Linked DNA regions of Arabidopsis thaliana. The protein of the gene in region 2 interacts with the protein of the main gene of each other region in a pairwise test. Each region holds a gene or a part of one and is shown on either strand. Other genes may lie near its edges.

Region 1 (6,242 bases), about 24 Mb from region 2:
AACAAGGAAAACCCAAATCAAGAATCATTTTTTTCAAATGAGTTTTTATTTCTAGATTGTTGTCCTGAGGATTTGTATTTGGGTTTCGTTGATGAACATATAACCCCATTCTTTCTTCTCTGAAGATATCTAAAGAAAAAGAAAGGTAAGAGGGAAAGTGACAACAACAATTCTCTTTCAATTTTGGAAAAGTGTATTTTAAAACTCAAAGAACATGAACTAAAACCGTCAATGTATTGTTGAGCAAGAAAAAGAAAACAGAGGAGGGGGGAAATAATTGTGAATTAATTAATTATTTTTGAATTATTGTTAGGATAACAGTTGGAGGATATAATTATAATTAATTATTTGAAATATTGTTAGAGCGATTAATTCATATTTAATATAAGAAGATTAGTTGGTAAAGTTGTTGTTAAATGCTCAAAGAGGGACAAGACCAAAGCCCATGACCACAAAATAAGTTTATTTTGTGTGAAAGAAATTGGAGATGTTGATGTATGTTTCCATCTGATGGTTCTATATTTCTCTATTTATGTGAGAAGTAAATGATTTTCATAGCTATTATACACCATAGTAATATCTATAGATATTTAGAGGAATCGATAGTGAAAGATATACCAAAAGGCTTATATAAGTAGAGTTAAGATATTTTACTTTTTGAAGTAAAGAATAATTTATCTAAAAATGGATTAGAAAGACCAGCTGCTTTAGTTATCTACACATTGTGTTGACTAGAGTGTCCAAGTATTATATCTCTTTGTTTTTTTCCCGGTAATGTTTCTTAGTATATATGTGTCGTCGTTCACAAACTGGTTAAATTAGCTGTCGGATGTGTTTCTTATAAAGTAATGAGGGATCATTCTCTCTAGATGGTTAACATATATAATCGTATGGCTATTTACTTGGATCATGGTCTTGGTCCATATTTAAAGTTAGTGTGTTTGTAAACAATATTATCTGTTACTAACAATTTCGATGATGGATAATACAATATATAATATTTTTTGTTAGATAATTTCATTAAATGATTTCGATTCTCTAAATTCTAGATTTTTATCTTACTAACTTATATGATTATATTATTTTCACAGTTTCATCAATAATTTATTTCACAATAATGTTGGGCGTGGGCTTTGCTCCCACTTTACTCGCTCGGCCCATCAAAAATGAGTAAATGTTAACTGGTTTGATAAGGTGTGAATGTTTTATTTGAAAGCAAAAAAAATCCTAACTTTTTTTTGTCGAAAAAAATCCTCAAAATGATTTAAAAAAGGAATAAAAAAGAACGTTATTTCAATAAAGACGGATTGTACAAAACATAAATTAGTATCGAACTAGTTTGAATTTTATTTCTACCAAAAAAAAAAAGGTTTTAGCATGTTTTGGTCTCTAAACCCAAAGAATGGGCCGAATGTCCAAAACTTCAACAAAAAAAAAAGATTATATACAAAGATATTAACGAAGATAAAATAAATAAAACAAGTTAGCCTAAAACAACTATATTATGGAGTATATTACTTATAAGTCGACGTGTCGGCTAAAGAAATGAAAGTAAGAAGCAGGTTCTTAGGAAAAATGAATCATCGAAACAAAATAAACAATGAAAATGAATCATCGAAAGAATTGATATATATTAGAATCGATCATATATATGGGAATCAAAAAGACGTGTAGATTAGCGGAAGATACGGCGATGATTTTGCTTCTATGTTTTTCGCTTCTCTTAATTAATAAACTATTTTTGGGGTTATAAAGTCTCAGTCCATTAATTTCACCTTACTGCCAGCTAACAATCCCGATGAATTACTCATAAATATTGTAATACAACAATTACTCATAAATATTGTAATACAACACTTTAATTTACGTTCATTCATTTTTTTTATCACTCCAAAAAGATAATGATGTATTTGATATGCGATCCATATTTTTCCCCGACGTCAAGATTTTTTCTATGCCATTTTTTAAAATGAGTTCTTATTATTTACATTGTTGATCATGTGGTTTTACAGTGCCACATTAGTTGCTAAAATTATATACAATACAAATAACTTATATAATTTTTCCTCACCAGTATTAGTGGTCTATGTTTGGAGTATTTTTTATATAACATATATGGTACCGACTCGATTCAATTGATTAAATACCATAAAAGATAATTCTGTCTATAGACAATCTTTTACAATATTCTTTTTTTAAAAAAAAAAATACCTTAATTTGGGTTCATTTGAGTTTAACAAATTAAAAGTGAAAAAGAACTAATGAAAACTCAGTATTCTTACTACAATTTTCAATAAATATCGAAATTTATAATTAATTAATACTTAATTTACATTTTTCATATTTATATTTATCCATTCAGTTAATTGAAAATTAAAAATAAAATAATAATGTGAATATGTTTTATTGGTTAAATAAAAATGTAGTAGATTTTACGATATATTAAACATACAACTTTTTTTTGGTTAAGAACTATTGTATAGAGTAAGGTTTCAAATAATAACAATGGAACAAATTTTTTGTCCAAAAAAAAAAAAAATGGAACAAATTTAACTGTGAGAAAATAGTGGGATAGAAGCAAATAATGGAACCAGTGCAGTTAGTACGAAATGAAAGAATATGTGGAAGTATCATAAATATGTAAAATTTAAAAGTTAGAATACCAAAATTTTAGCTATCTTTTTAAAGAGGATCTAAAAAGTATCAGAAAACATGTAAGGTTGTGTTTATTAGAACTATTCATCTAGTAGAAAAGTGATTGTCATTATCTTCAAGTATCACATTAAAAAAAAAAAAAAAAATGTTGTGTAGTGTCTGTCGATGAACATCGGAGTAAAATGGATGTCATTATCTTGAAAGAACTAAGAAATATGAGTGTCCATAGGCAGAGTAACAAGTTGTTACTAACAACATTACAAGGAGACAATGACTACAAAAAAACAAAACAAATACAAGCATTTTTAGTAACCATACGTTTTAGGCATGCTAGTCCAATATTCCCAGTTAAGGAAATGTACAAAAAATAACATATGTCTAGCTAGAATTCTATGCATTCATAACTTCGAAGCTTCAAACTGATAAGAGTTTAAAAAATGACGTAAAATATTGAATTTGATCTAATGCCAGCTTCTTTTTCTAATCAGTTTAATCAAACTCAATAAATTAAAAAAAAATCTTAAGAATACGTCACTAGCTTAAATAAAATATTAGACATAAACCACTTATATAAACCTTTATCATAACATAACTACACAAACACATTGTCTCTCTTTGCTTACCAATAGACAACCTTAAAGCCACTTTTCGTCAACAAGACACACAAAAACCCTAAACAAAAAATCACTTATCAAACTTATTAGTGTCTAATGGCACTCGTTAATGACCATCCCAACGAGACCAATTACTTGTCAAAACAAAATTCCTCCTCTTCCGAAGATCTCTCCTCGCCGGGACTGGATCAGCCAGATGCAGCTTATGCCGGTGGAGGAGGAGGAGGAGGCTCGGCTTCGAGCAGTAGCACGATGAATTCAGATCATCAACAACATCAGGGGTTTGTATTTTACCCATCCGGTGAAGATCATCACAACTCTTTGATGGATTTCAACGGATCATCATTTCTTAACTTTGATCATCACGAGAGCTTTCCTCCTCCAGCCATAAGCTGTGGTGGTAGTAGCGGTGGGGGCGGCTTCTCCTTCTTGGAGGGCAACAACATGAGCTACGGCTTCACAAACTGGAATCATCAACATCATATGGATATTATTAGCCCTAGATCCACCGAAACTCCCCAAGGCCAGAAAGACTGGTTATATTCTGATTCAACTGTTGTAACCACTGGTTCTAGAAACGAGTCTCTTTCGCCTAAATCCGCTGGAAACAAACGTTCTCACACGGTAATTACAAACAACAAAGTCTTGGTGAATATTTTTCATATAAGATGTCAATGAAAGATCGTTGATATATACTACTATCAATTTGAATTATGGATATATAGGGAGAGAGCACTCAACCGTCGAAGAAACTGAGTAGCGGTGTGACCGGAAAGACCAAGCCTAAGCCAACAACTTCACCTAAAGATCCACAAAGCCTAGCAGCCAAGGTTTGCTTTCTTGACATTAATTTACATTCATTAAAATAAAACTCAATCTCTCAACACATATTTACATATGTTTTATTTTGTTCAGAATCGAAGAGAAAGGATAAGTGAACGTCTCAAGATATTGCAAGAACTTGTTCCCAATGGCACCAAGGTACACATCCATATAACCATTTATGACAGATTTATTATATTACTTATTCTCATGATAATAATATTTGTTATGTTTCACAGGTTGATTTGGTGACAATGCTTGAAAAGGCTATTAGTTATGTCAAGTTCCTTCAAGTACAAGTTAAGGTATATTAGTTATGACAAACATCCCTCAAATTAATTTTCAGGATTGATTTAATTACCATATTTATCGAATTATTACGTAACACGTATTGATATAATCTATTGTTTGTTAGGTATTAGCGACCGATGAGTTTTGGCCGGCTCAAGGAGGAAAAGCTCCTGACATTTCTCAAGTTAAAGACGCCATTGATGCCATTCTCTCCTCATCACAACGAGACAGGAATTCGAATCTGATCACCAATTAATGAAGGGTTTTATCATTAATAAATCAGTTTATCAAACATTAATTACGTACGTTGTAATAATATCGGGGGAAACAATGATTCTCTCGATTATAAATCCCACGTAAATTTTGAAATATGATCCAAAGAGAAGACAATCGAGATTATGTAACGTTAGATTATGTGAAAATCGAGAAGTTCTTAATGCATCTATAACGAAGAGAAGACAAGAGACATTGAATTCACCGATGATCAGTCTGATATGGGTCCACACGGGGATGGAATCTTTAACTAGTAAATAAGTGTTAAAAACATAAATATGTTTTTCAATTTCTTTTTCTGTTTTAATTGTATTTTGTGTGTTTTAGTCTACGGAATACAGATCTTTTATTTAAACTCCAAGAAATGAGTAATAAAATTCTTCACTTTTGTTTTTTCCTTGAGGTTTCAGTTTCAGAGAATCTATCTTTTTGTCATCTTTCTTTGTCTATTTGAGCTTGGCTTTATTAAAGCTAGCTCTTGAGCGACATGCTTATTTATTTAAAATTCGTCAAAAGTTTGTCACACATATTATAGGGTCTCTATATAGATTGCAATGCATAGTATTTTTTGAAAAAAAAGATAAACTATGAATTTCTATTACCAAAATAGACCATTTTTTTATTTATAATTGCTCTAGGACGACGAGTTCTTCTGTGCAAAACATTTTCACATTCTCTGTATGAATGATCAAAACATAATGTTAACCTAGTTTGCTTGGCTAAAACATTTTATGATATAATTTTGGTACACTAAAATATGTATTTTCGAAAATATAAACATTTTTATATGTAGGTAAATAAGTATTCAACCAAAAGTTGAGAAATCTTAAAATCAGTGATGAATAGCATATATTTTTTTTATCAATTAATTGTAGGATAACCATACACTGATACACATCAGCACCTTTATCGTATAAAATTATTTCTCAAATTAAGTATGAGATTATATTAATTGATTGGACGACATACCTAAGATCTCGATTTATCAGCCCATGTCAGCATGTGTCCTTTGGGAAAGATTAGGGATACGTGTTCTTATTAATTTATACATTGTTTTCATTTGAATTGATATTCAAATGTATGTCCAAAATTATTAAATTAATTAACTACATGATTAGCCACATGGATAATCCCACTTTAGGCGCTGTACTTGTATTTATGTACTTACGAGCTCCATCAAGTCAATAAGACAAACGAAGTTATTAAGAAGTCCAATAATCTATTTATTTTATAATCCATTACATGATTCCATATTTATCTTACTAGACTGGCATTATGTAAACAAATGAATGAATTGAAACGAAATATCAAAATTTCAATTCGATTTGTTTTCAGAAGTTTTGTAAAATATTAGTCTTATTGTATTATATTACACTTGAGTTTATTTATAGAAACAGAAAAAAATCAATTTTATTACCTTTTAAATGTTATTTTCTAAATCATTTACTTAAGTTAGGTTAAAATAAATGTATATGCACATGAAAGGAAAAACAATTGACAATTTGACATTAAAAATATAATTTTGAAAAGAAGTATTAACTTTGCCAAAAAGAAACTAAAAGAAGTATTAACTACATATAACCGTCA
Region 2 (7,377 bases):
CTTGCAGTCAGAAGAAAGATGTCACTGTTGTTGATGGAAGGTAAAATCTCATATGTGGTTTTGTTCACTTCTCTTCTCATTGCTTCTACCAAAGTATTGATGCATTCTTTTTTTGCTTCTTGGAAGTTGTATGGATGAGATCTATGATAAGTTGGCGGAACGTCTTGTCCCTACAGCAGCGGCAATGTTTAGCCCCAATCTTAAGTAAGTTTGCTACTCTTTAAATGTTGTTCTGTTCTGTTAGCTGCACCCGAGTTTTTAGATAACTCCTATGAATTGTGTGTTGACTCGTGTAGACGTTTGGTCGGTTTGGCTGGTCCTCCTGGTGCCGGGAAAAGTACAGTAGCAAATGAAGTTGTGCGTCGTGTAAATAAGCTATGGCCTCAGAAAGCTGCTTCTTTTGATGCTGAGGTTAATCCACCGGATGTTGCTATAGTACTTCCCATGGATGGTTTCCATTTGTATCGTTCGCAACTCGATGCTATGGAGGTTGAGCTCATAATATTTTGCTGAGTTATATTTCTCTTATTATGTCTCTTTCTCTTTGTTGTTTAAGAGGAATTCTGTATTTTGTTTTGTCACTCTAGGATCCCAAAGAAGCCCATGCGAGAAGAGGGGGTGAGATCTGTTATAATTGTCTTATTCAAAGATTTTTTCGAAATGTTCAAACTTGGTTTGACCCTTCTATCCACTAATCAGCTCCGTGGACTTTTGATCCTGCACTACTGCTTAACTGTTTAAAGAAGCTGAAAAACGAGGTAAAGAGGTGGTTACAAAATCTTGTTGACCTTAGGATCTTGAAGTTGGGAGACTTACAATAGACTCTGATTAGTTTTCAAGCTTTCCAGGGCTCAGTTTATGTGCCATCATTTGATCATGGAGTTGGGGATCCAGTTGAAGATGATATCTTTGTTAGCCTCCAGTAAGTAGTCAGTAGCTTCCTAAATCTGTCAAATCCGAATCTAGTGTAATATGAAATGGTTTTGTTTGCCTATTCCGGAGACAGTCAGCTAACTTATGTCCTCTTCTTAGGCATAAAGTGGTAATTGTAGAAGGAAACTACATCTTGTTAGAAGAAGGGTCTTGGAAAGACATCTCAGATATGTTTGATGAGAAATGGTAAAGACTAATCAAAAGTGTTTTTTCCTTTTCTCACTCACTCGTGGTATTTGAGTTCGGTTTTACCAATTGATGTCTTTCCATCTTCAATTCAAGGTTCATCGATGTGAATCTCGATACAGCAATGCAACGTGTTGAAAACCGGCATATCTCAACTGGTGTGTACAATTTCTCTTATTTCGATTCTTGAGAACCCGCAATGACCTCAGAGAATCTCGCTTTTGTTTAATCCGTTTTCCCTTTGTGAATTACAGGTAAACCCCCAGATGTTGCTAAATGGCGGGTAAAAGCTCTGGCTCTACTCTACTTAATATTCAGTTACATGGTTTCAATGGTTTGTTCAAGGTAGCTAGCTGCTTCTTTTTTTCAAATTTGGATGGCAGGTGGATTATAATGACCGACCCAACGCAGAGCTGATAATAAAGTCAAAGACAAACGCTGATCTACTGATCAGATCTATGAACATTTGAATCTACTTTCAAGGGGGCTATTGGACGAAACAGAATAAGATGAATAACAAAAGACAATGTTGCGCTTCAAGGGAAGATTGCCTTTGGTCTACAATGTCTTTTTCTTGCAACGGAAACTTCCAATAAGCAATTTGTTCGCAGTAAACTGTGTATGCTAGTGTTCTCTGCATACTCACGGATTTTGTTCAGACAATGTGTTTTATACTTCTAAATTAGAAGTTCTAATGCATAAAGTGTTTGAATGCGCGGGAAATTACCTAATTATAATCAGTCCAGCTCCCAACTATATCATTTTGAATAGTTAAATGGTCTATCCAAATTAGTGCAAGAAAAAAAAGAGAGGCAAAACCATAATATAATACCAACATTTGTTTTTTCTTCCTTTTTTACATAATTCAGAAACACGATCCCACACCTTCATTACTATTACTACAGCTAGCACTACCCTCAAAGCCCTTGGTCCTGAAAATCACACTAAAGTCTTTGAACAAAAAAGAGTTACTTTCATCAAAATGATAAATACTAGCCAAGCAAGCGAGAGCTTTTTCCTTCTTTTGACAGATCCCGTTTTACTTCTTTACTGCACAAATCCTACTTAGATTCCATCTCCAATGCCTTTTTACTTACCTTTCATGAGTCACAAAAGTCTAGTAGTGGGAAACAGAGCAAAATGTCAATCATCAGCTGGGGACCGTTGGATGAACAAAAATCTACGGTGGAGGATTCATCTCTGGTTTGACGATTGAAGAAGATGTGTCTGGTGGCTGAGAATGGTAAATCGCCATTGCCAATGAGATCGGCATTATGCAAAGAGCCTTTGATTGCAAAAGTTGCATCGCTGCTCCAACGTTTTCTTCCATCAGCTTAGCCACTTGCCTCTCTGTCCCATCGTTTGACCATTTCTCCCACACGGCCTGCGTCTCATCCTGAAGAAAGTTTTTACACCACAAGTCAGTGCAAGAAAAACCATTACCAAAGTTCTGTTCTTTTTTTAATGAAGTATCTCTCTCTAGTCTAACCTCAACTGATGAAGATAATGGCATTTCAGTGACTAGTGGTGCGACAGCACCGGCTCCACCAAGACGGCTCATGCTCAGGACCTGCCATAGTTGACCAGAGATAAAGCTTATGAAGGAAAAATATTATCAAAGCCCATCATTGCATAAAATATTCTTCAATGTTCTCATTAGCTTTATTACAATAGTCCTCAATTGTGATGATTCTCCATGGGAGGGAAGCAAGCAAAAAGTGAAAGACACTAATGCCAAAAAACACACAATCATGTACTCTTTGATTACTCTTTATTGCCAGATTAAACAATTATAATCTTTTATTAAGATTGGAAGTTTGGTTTAAGAGAGTAGGTGGTGGTGGGGACCAAGGATTTACACCACTAAATCCTTCTGGCTGTTTTAAATAATCTTTCTACAAACTTTTAATGATAGCATTTTCAAAAACCAGAGAATAGAAAACTGAAAATGACTTGGGTGTTTACCTTAACTTGGAGCCTGAGAAACTTTACATAATCGACAATCTCGTCGATCATAGCAGCCCTATCTGTCTGCAAAAGGAAAGCAAAAGAAACAGATGTGAATACCGCAGTTTCTATATGCCAATCACAAAACTTTTCTCTCATTGACAACTCTAGTTTTCTCCCTACTTTTAAAATCTCTTTCAAGCTCTCTTCGCGACATGAAAACAGTAGCTGAAGCTCTAGAGAAAAAGATACCAACCTTGTTAACGGTAGGTACAAGTTCCTGCAACGACCTGATCCGTTCTGCTATTCTTTCCCTTCGGAGCTGTTGCAAAGCAAATACATTCAGGTTAGGTCTTACCGTTCTTAGTAAGTAAGAACTAATCGAACTTTCTCAACCAAAAGCTATAATTAAAGCTTTGATCAAACATTATCACATAAAAATCGAAAAAAGAGACCAGAAGATAAAAAAAGTGTATCAAACATCTTACCCTCTCAGCGATGCTATGTGGATCGGTAGCTTGACCTCGCCTAGCCCTAACTCTAGGCCGAATAGTAGACTGTTGATGCGGCATTGGTGGAGCTGGCTGTGACATTGGCTGCCCATGGAAAATCTTCAACAAAACACAAAACAATGCCGTAATAACATTAAGAAAAGCTTAAAAACCGCTTCTCACAAGAACGGTCGCCACTAGAGTAGTTATAGCAACAATTCAAACTATGACGGAATTATCCACATGAGAAAAGAAACTAAAGAGCAAATTTTCTTACAATATAATTTGGACATAAAAGAACACTCTTTTATACTAAAGTTTCTTGCAAAACTAATTTTAGTGTTATGACTTTAAAACACATCAAAATCTTCAACTTGGGTTTCTTCAAAAACATCAAATCTCACCAATCTGAGCCAAAAACTCTCGGTAACTATCAAATTTAGACCTAAGCTGGGTTTTCTCAAAAACGACACCATTTTGAAACCCTAAAGATTTGAATTTCACTTTATTTTCTCGAGAACACAAAAGAAAAAGACAAAGTGAAGATTCTGAAGAGAAACTTACAGGTTTCATAGAGGAACATCGATTATCAAGAACATCGTCTTGGAAACGTTTACCAGTTTCATCAGGTTTAAGAAAGCCATGTCCTTTCCCTTGATCGAGACTTAATCCCAACGGAAACATCTGATTATGAAACCCTACAGGTCCACCTCCTCCAATGGCACCCATATGATTATGATTCCCTTCGTTGCCTGAACCAAGCTGAAGCATCATCGGAGGTGGACCCACGCCGCCGATTCCAGAGAGACCAGAACCTGAAGAACCGGAGAAGTTGGAAAGCCCGAGGATCTGCTCGAAGAAATCGTCGGTAGGAGATGGATCGGAGATGCTATCATGTGGGATGTTGTTGTTATTAGCCATGAAGGAAACGAGTAAAGGTTTGAAATTTTCGACTCAGTGGAGCTGGGTGAGTTAAAAGATAGCGAGTTAGAGAAGAGAAGTCGAAGAACAACTTTCCATGCGAAGAATCTTGTGTGGAGTTGTTAGGTGAGAGAATGATGATGCTTAAGCTAATGAGGACGAAGAGACACAGACGAGAAAGGATATGACAAAAAGACTCACTTTATGCTCTCTTTCATTTTATTTTTGTTAAAAGGACCTTACTTTGTGGTTTATTTTCGGTTTTGCCCTTGTTCTTATATACCTTCCAGAAACTTGAAGTGGGCTTTATTTGTTTTGAAGTGGGCTTTTTGTTTTGACTTTCTTCAATTTATTCATATCAAATTAAGAAAAAGGTCTTTTACCAAACTCTTTTTAGTAGAATGTTAAAAACCAATATAACTTTCTTTTTTTAAAATATATAAATGATATGGGAAAAATTCTACGCATTGTCGGGGTCGTCGTCATCTCGTTAGTGGTAGAAAATAAGATTTTTTTAAAAAAATCTGTCTTTGTCGTTTTTTCCGAAATTTAGCACTCATGGAGTAAAGTTTCTAATATCCAATATAAAAATGACACGTTTCATTTTGCCATATGGTATTACAACTTGCTTCTCCTTAGTGCTGAACCGTTGTCCGACTCGTTTTCCATTTTGAGAGACAAGGGTTTTTCTATTTTTCACAAAACAAAATTGTGGCATTTCTGAATATAATACGAGTAAAAAATATGTCAGCAGAAATGGGCTTGGATCGATTTTGATTTGTTGGATTCCATAATTCAATCTTGGGCTTCCAATCCATAAGAAAAAAGCTTGGTGTATTTTTTTTTACAAATTAGAAGAAAGTTTTTTCCTCTTTAATCAGTACTCTTCTCCTTACCCATTAATGGCAAATGCAAACTAAATTTCAGTTGACCCGTCAAACAATAAGTTAATTTTTTGCCACGTGGCCATATTTCTCACCGGACAAAGCCTCCAATAACCTCGGCGACTTTAGATGGTGAATAATCGACGAACAACAAAGAAACTACATTGACGAAACAAACAAACAAAAACATAGAAGAAGAAGAAGAAGAAACAAAACAAAACTAAACAAGAAACAGAGGAGAAAAAAGGAAACGACGAGGAAAAACAAAAACAAAATAAAAACAAGCCTCGTTCTTCCCTTTTCTCTCTTCAAATCTTTTCTTTTACATATTTTCTTTTCTTTTTTTTGTCTTTAATACAAATTTACTAACTAATCAGAATAAAAATGGGTTCGAGTAAGTTTAAACGAGCCATAGGAGCCGTAAAGGACCAAACCAGCGTCGGTCTAGCCAAAGTCAATGGTCGAAGCGCTTCTTTATCTGAACTTGACGTAGCCATCGTCAAAGCCACTCGTCACGAAGAGTTTCCAGCAGAAGAGAAATACATTAGAGAGATTCTTAGCCTAACTTCTTACTCACGCAGTTACATCAACGCTTGCGTTAGCACGCTTTCGAGACGCCTTAATAAAACCAAATGCTGGACCGTTGCCCTCAAAACCTTGATTTTGATCCAAAGGCTCTTAGGAGAAGGAGATCAAGCCTACGAGCAAGAGATCTTCTTCGCCACTCGCCGTGGAACAAGGCTTCTCAATATGTCTGATTTTAGGGATGTTTCGAGGTCTAATTCTTGGGACTACTCTGCGTTTGTCAGGACTTACGCATTGTACCTTGACGAAAGGCTTGATTTCAGGTAAGAGTTCTTGTGCTTGATCCAGGTTCCGATTCGGGATTTCAAGTTATTTATGTAATTTGAATGATATCTAAGATATGCGGTTTTTTTTTTTTTTTCATTGCAATTTTTGAGGATGCAAGCGAGACACGGGAAACGTGGAGTTTACTGCGTTGGAGGAGAAGCTGACGAAGAAGAACAGGATCAAGCTGCGGCAGATCTCTCCACGGCTATCGTGGTCAGGTCACAACCGATCGCCGAGATGAAAACAGAGCAGATTTTCATCAGAATCCAACATTTGCAGCAACTTCTTGACCGTTTCTTGGCTTGTCGCCCAACAGGTAATAACTTGCGTCTCAAGATTTCTTTCTCTGTGTGTGTTTGTTTCTTGGATAAAAATTTATATAAGGACCAATGTTATTTTGTTAACAGGTAATGCGAGGAACAACAGAGTTGTGATTGTGGCTCTGTATCCGATAGTGAAGGAGAGTTTTCAGATATATTACGATGTAACAGAGATAATGGGGATTTTGATTGAACGATTCATGGAGTTAGATATTCCTGATTCGATCAAGGTCTATGACATTTTCTGCCGGGTCTCGAAACAATTCGAAGAGCTCGATCAGTTCTACTCTTGGTGTAAGAACATGGGGATCGCACGGTCTTCTGAGTATCCAGAGATAGAGAAGATCACACAGAAGAAGCTTGATCTCATGGATGAGTTTATAAGAGACAAATCTGCTTTAGAACACACCAAGCAATCAAAATCTGTTAAATCTGAAGCCGATGAAGATGATGATGAAGCGAGAACAGAGGAAGTAAATGAAGAGCAAGAAGATATGAACGCAATAAAGGCCTTACCTGAACCTCCACCAAAAGAAGAAGATGACGTAAAACCTGAGGAAGAAGCAAAGGAAGAAGTGATCATAGAGAAGAAACAAGAAGAAATGGGTGATTTACTTGATCTTGGGAATACAAACGGCGGTGAAGCAGGACAAGCTGGAGATAGCTTAGCGTTGGCTTTATTTGACGGGCCATACGCAAGCGGTTCTGGTTCAGAGTCTGGTCCAGGATGGGAAGCGTTTAAGGATGATTCTGCGGATTGGGAAACAGCTTTGGTGCAAACAGCTACAAACTTGTCAGGACAAAAGTCAGAACTCGGAGGAGGCTTTGATATGTTGTTGCTTA

What was found. The genes of interacting proteins can lie anywhere in the genome.
Region 1: the proteins of AT1G03040 (region 2) and RHD6 interact in binary tests that used the Arabidopsis thaliana proteins (3 or more experiments, as listed by UniProt).

What each region holds. Positions count from the first base shown.
Region 1 is NC_003070.9:24,791,961-24,798,202, forward strand, and holds RHD6 (ROOT HAIR DEFECTIVE6), read left to right. Parts: upstream 1-3,253; 5' UTR 3,254-3,365; coding exon 3,366-3,893; intron 3,894-3,994; coding exon 3,995-4,099; intron 4,100-4,184; coding exon 4,185-4,250; intron 4,251-4,330; coding exon 4,331-4,396; intron 4,397-4,506; coding exon 4,507-4,638; 3' UTR 4,639-5,055; downstream 5,056-6,242. Other genes in the region: AT1G66460 (Protein kinase superfamily protein), read right to left, coding at 1-109. UniProt on the Arabidopsis thaliana protein: Transcription factor that is specifically required for the development of root hairs. Acts with RSL1 to positively regulate root hair development. Acts downstream of genes that regulate epidermal pattern formation, such as GL2.
Region 2 is NC_003070.9:701,980-709,356, forward strand, and holds AT1G03040 (basic helix-loop-helix (bHLH) DNA-binding superfamily protein), read right to left. Parts: upstream 4,686-7,377; 5' UTR 4,479-4,685; coding exon 4,122-4,478; intron 3,678-4,121; coding exon 3,555-3,677; intron 3,389-3,554; coding exon 3,323-3,388; intron 3,151-3,322; coding exon 3,085-3,150; intron 2,690-3,084; coding exon 2,300-2,689; 3' UTR 1,870-2,299; downstream 1-1,869. Other genes in the region: AT1G03030 (P-loop containing nucleoside triphosphate hydrolases superfamily protein), read left to right, coding at 1-40, 127-204, 297-489, 588-618, 700-758, 849-922, 1,033-1,119, 1,216-1,277 and 2 more; AT1G03050 (ENTH/ANTH/VHS superfamily protein), read left to right, coding at 5,747-6,210, 6,325-6,530, 6,622-7,377.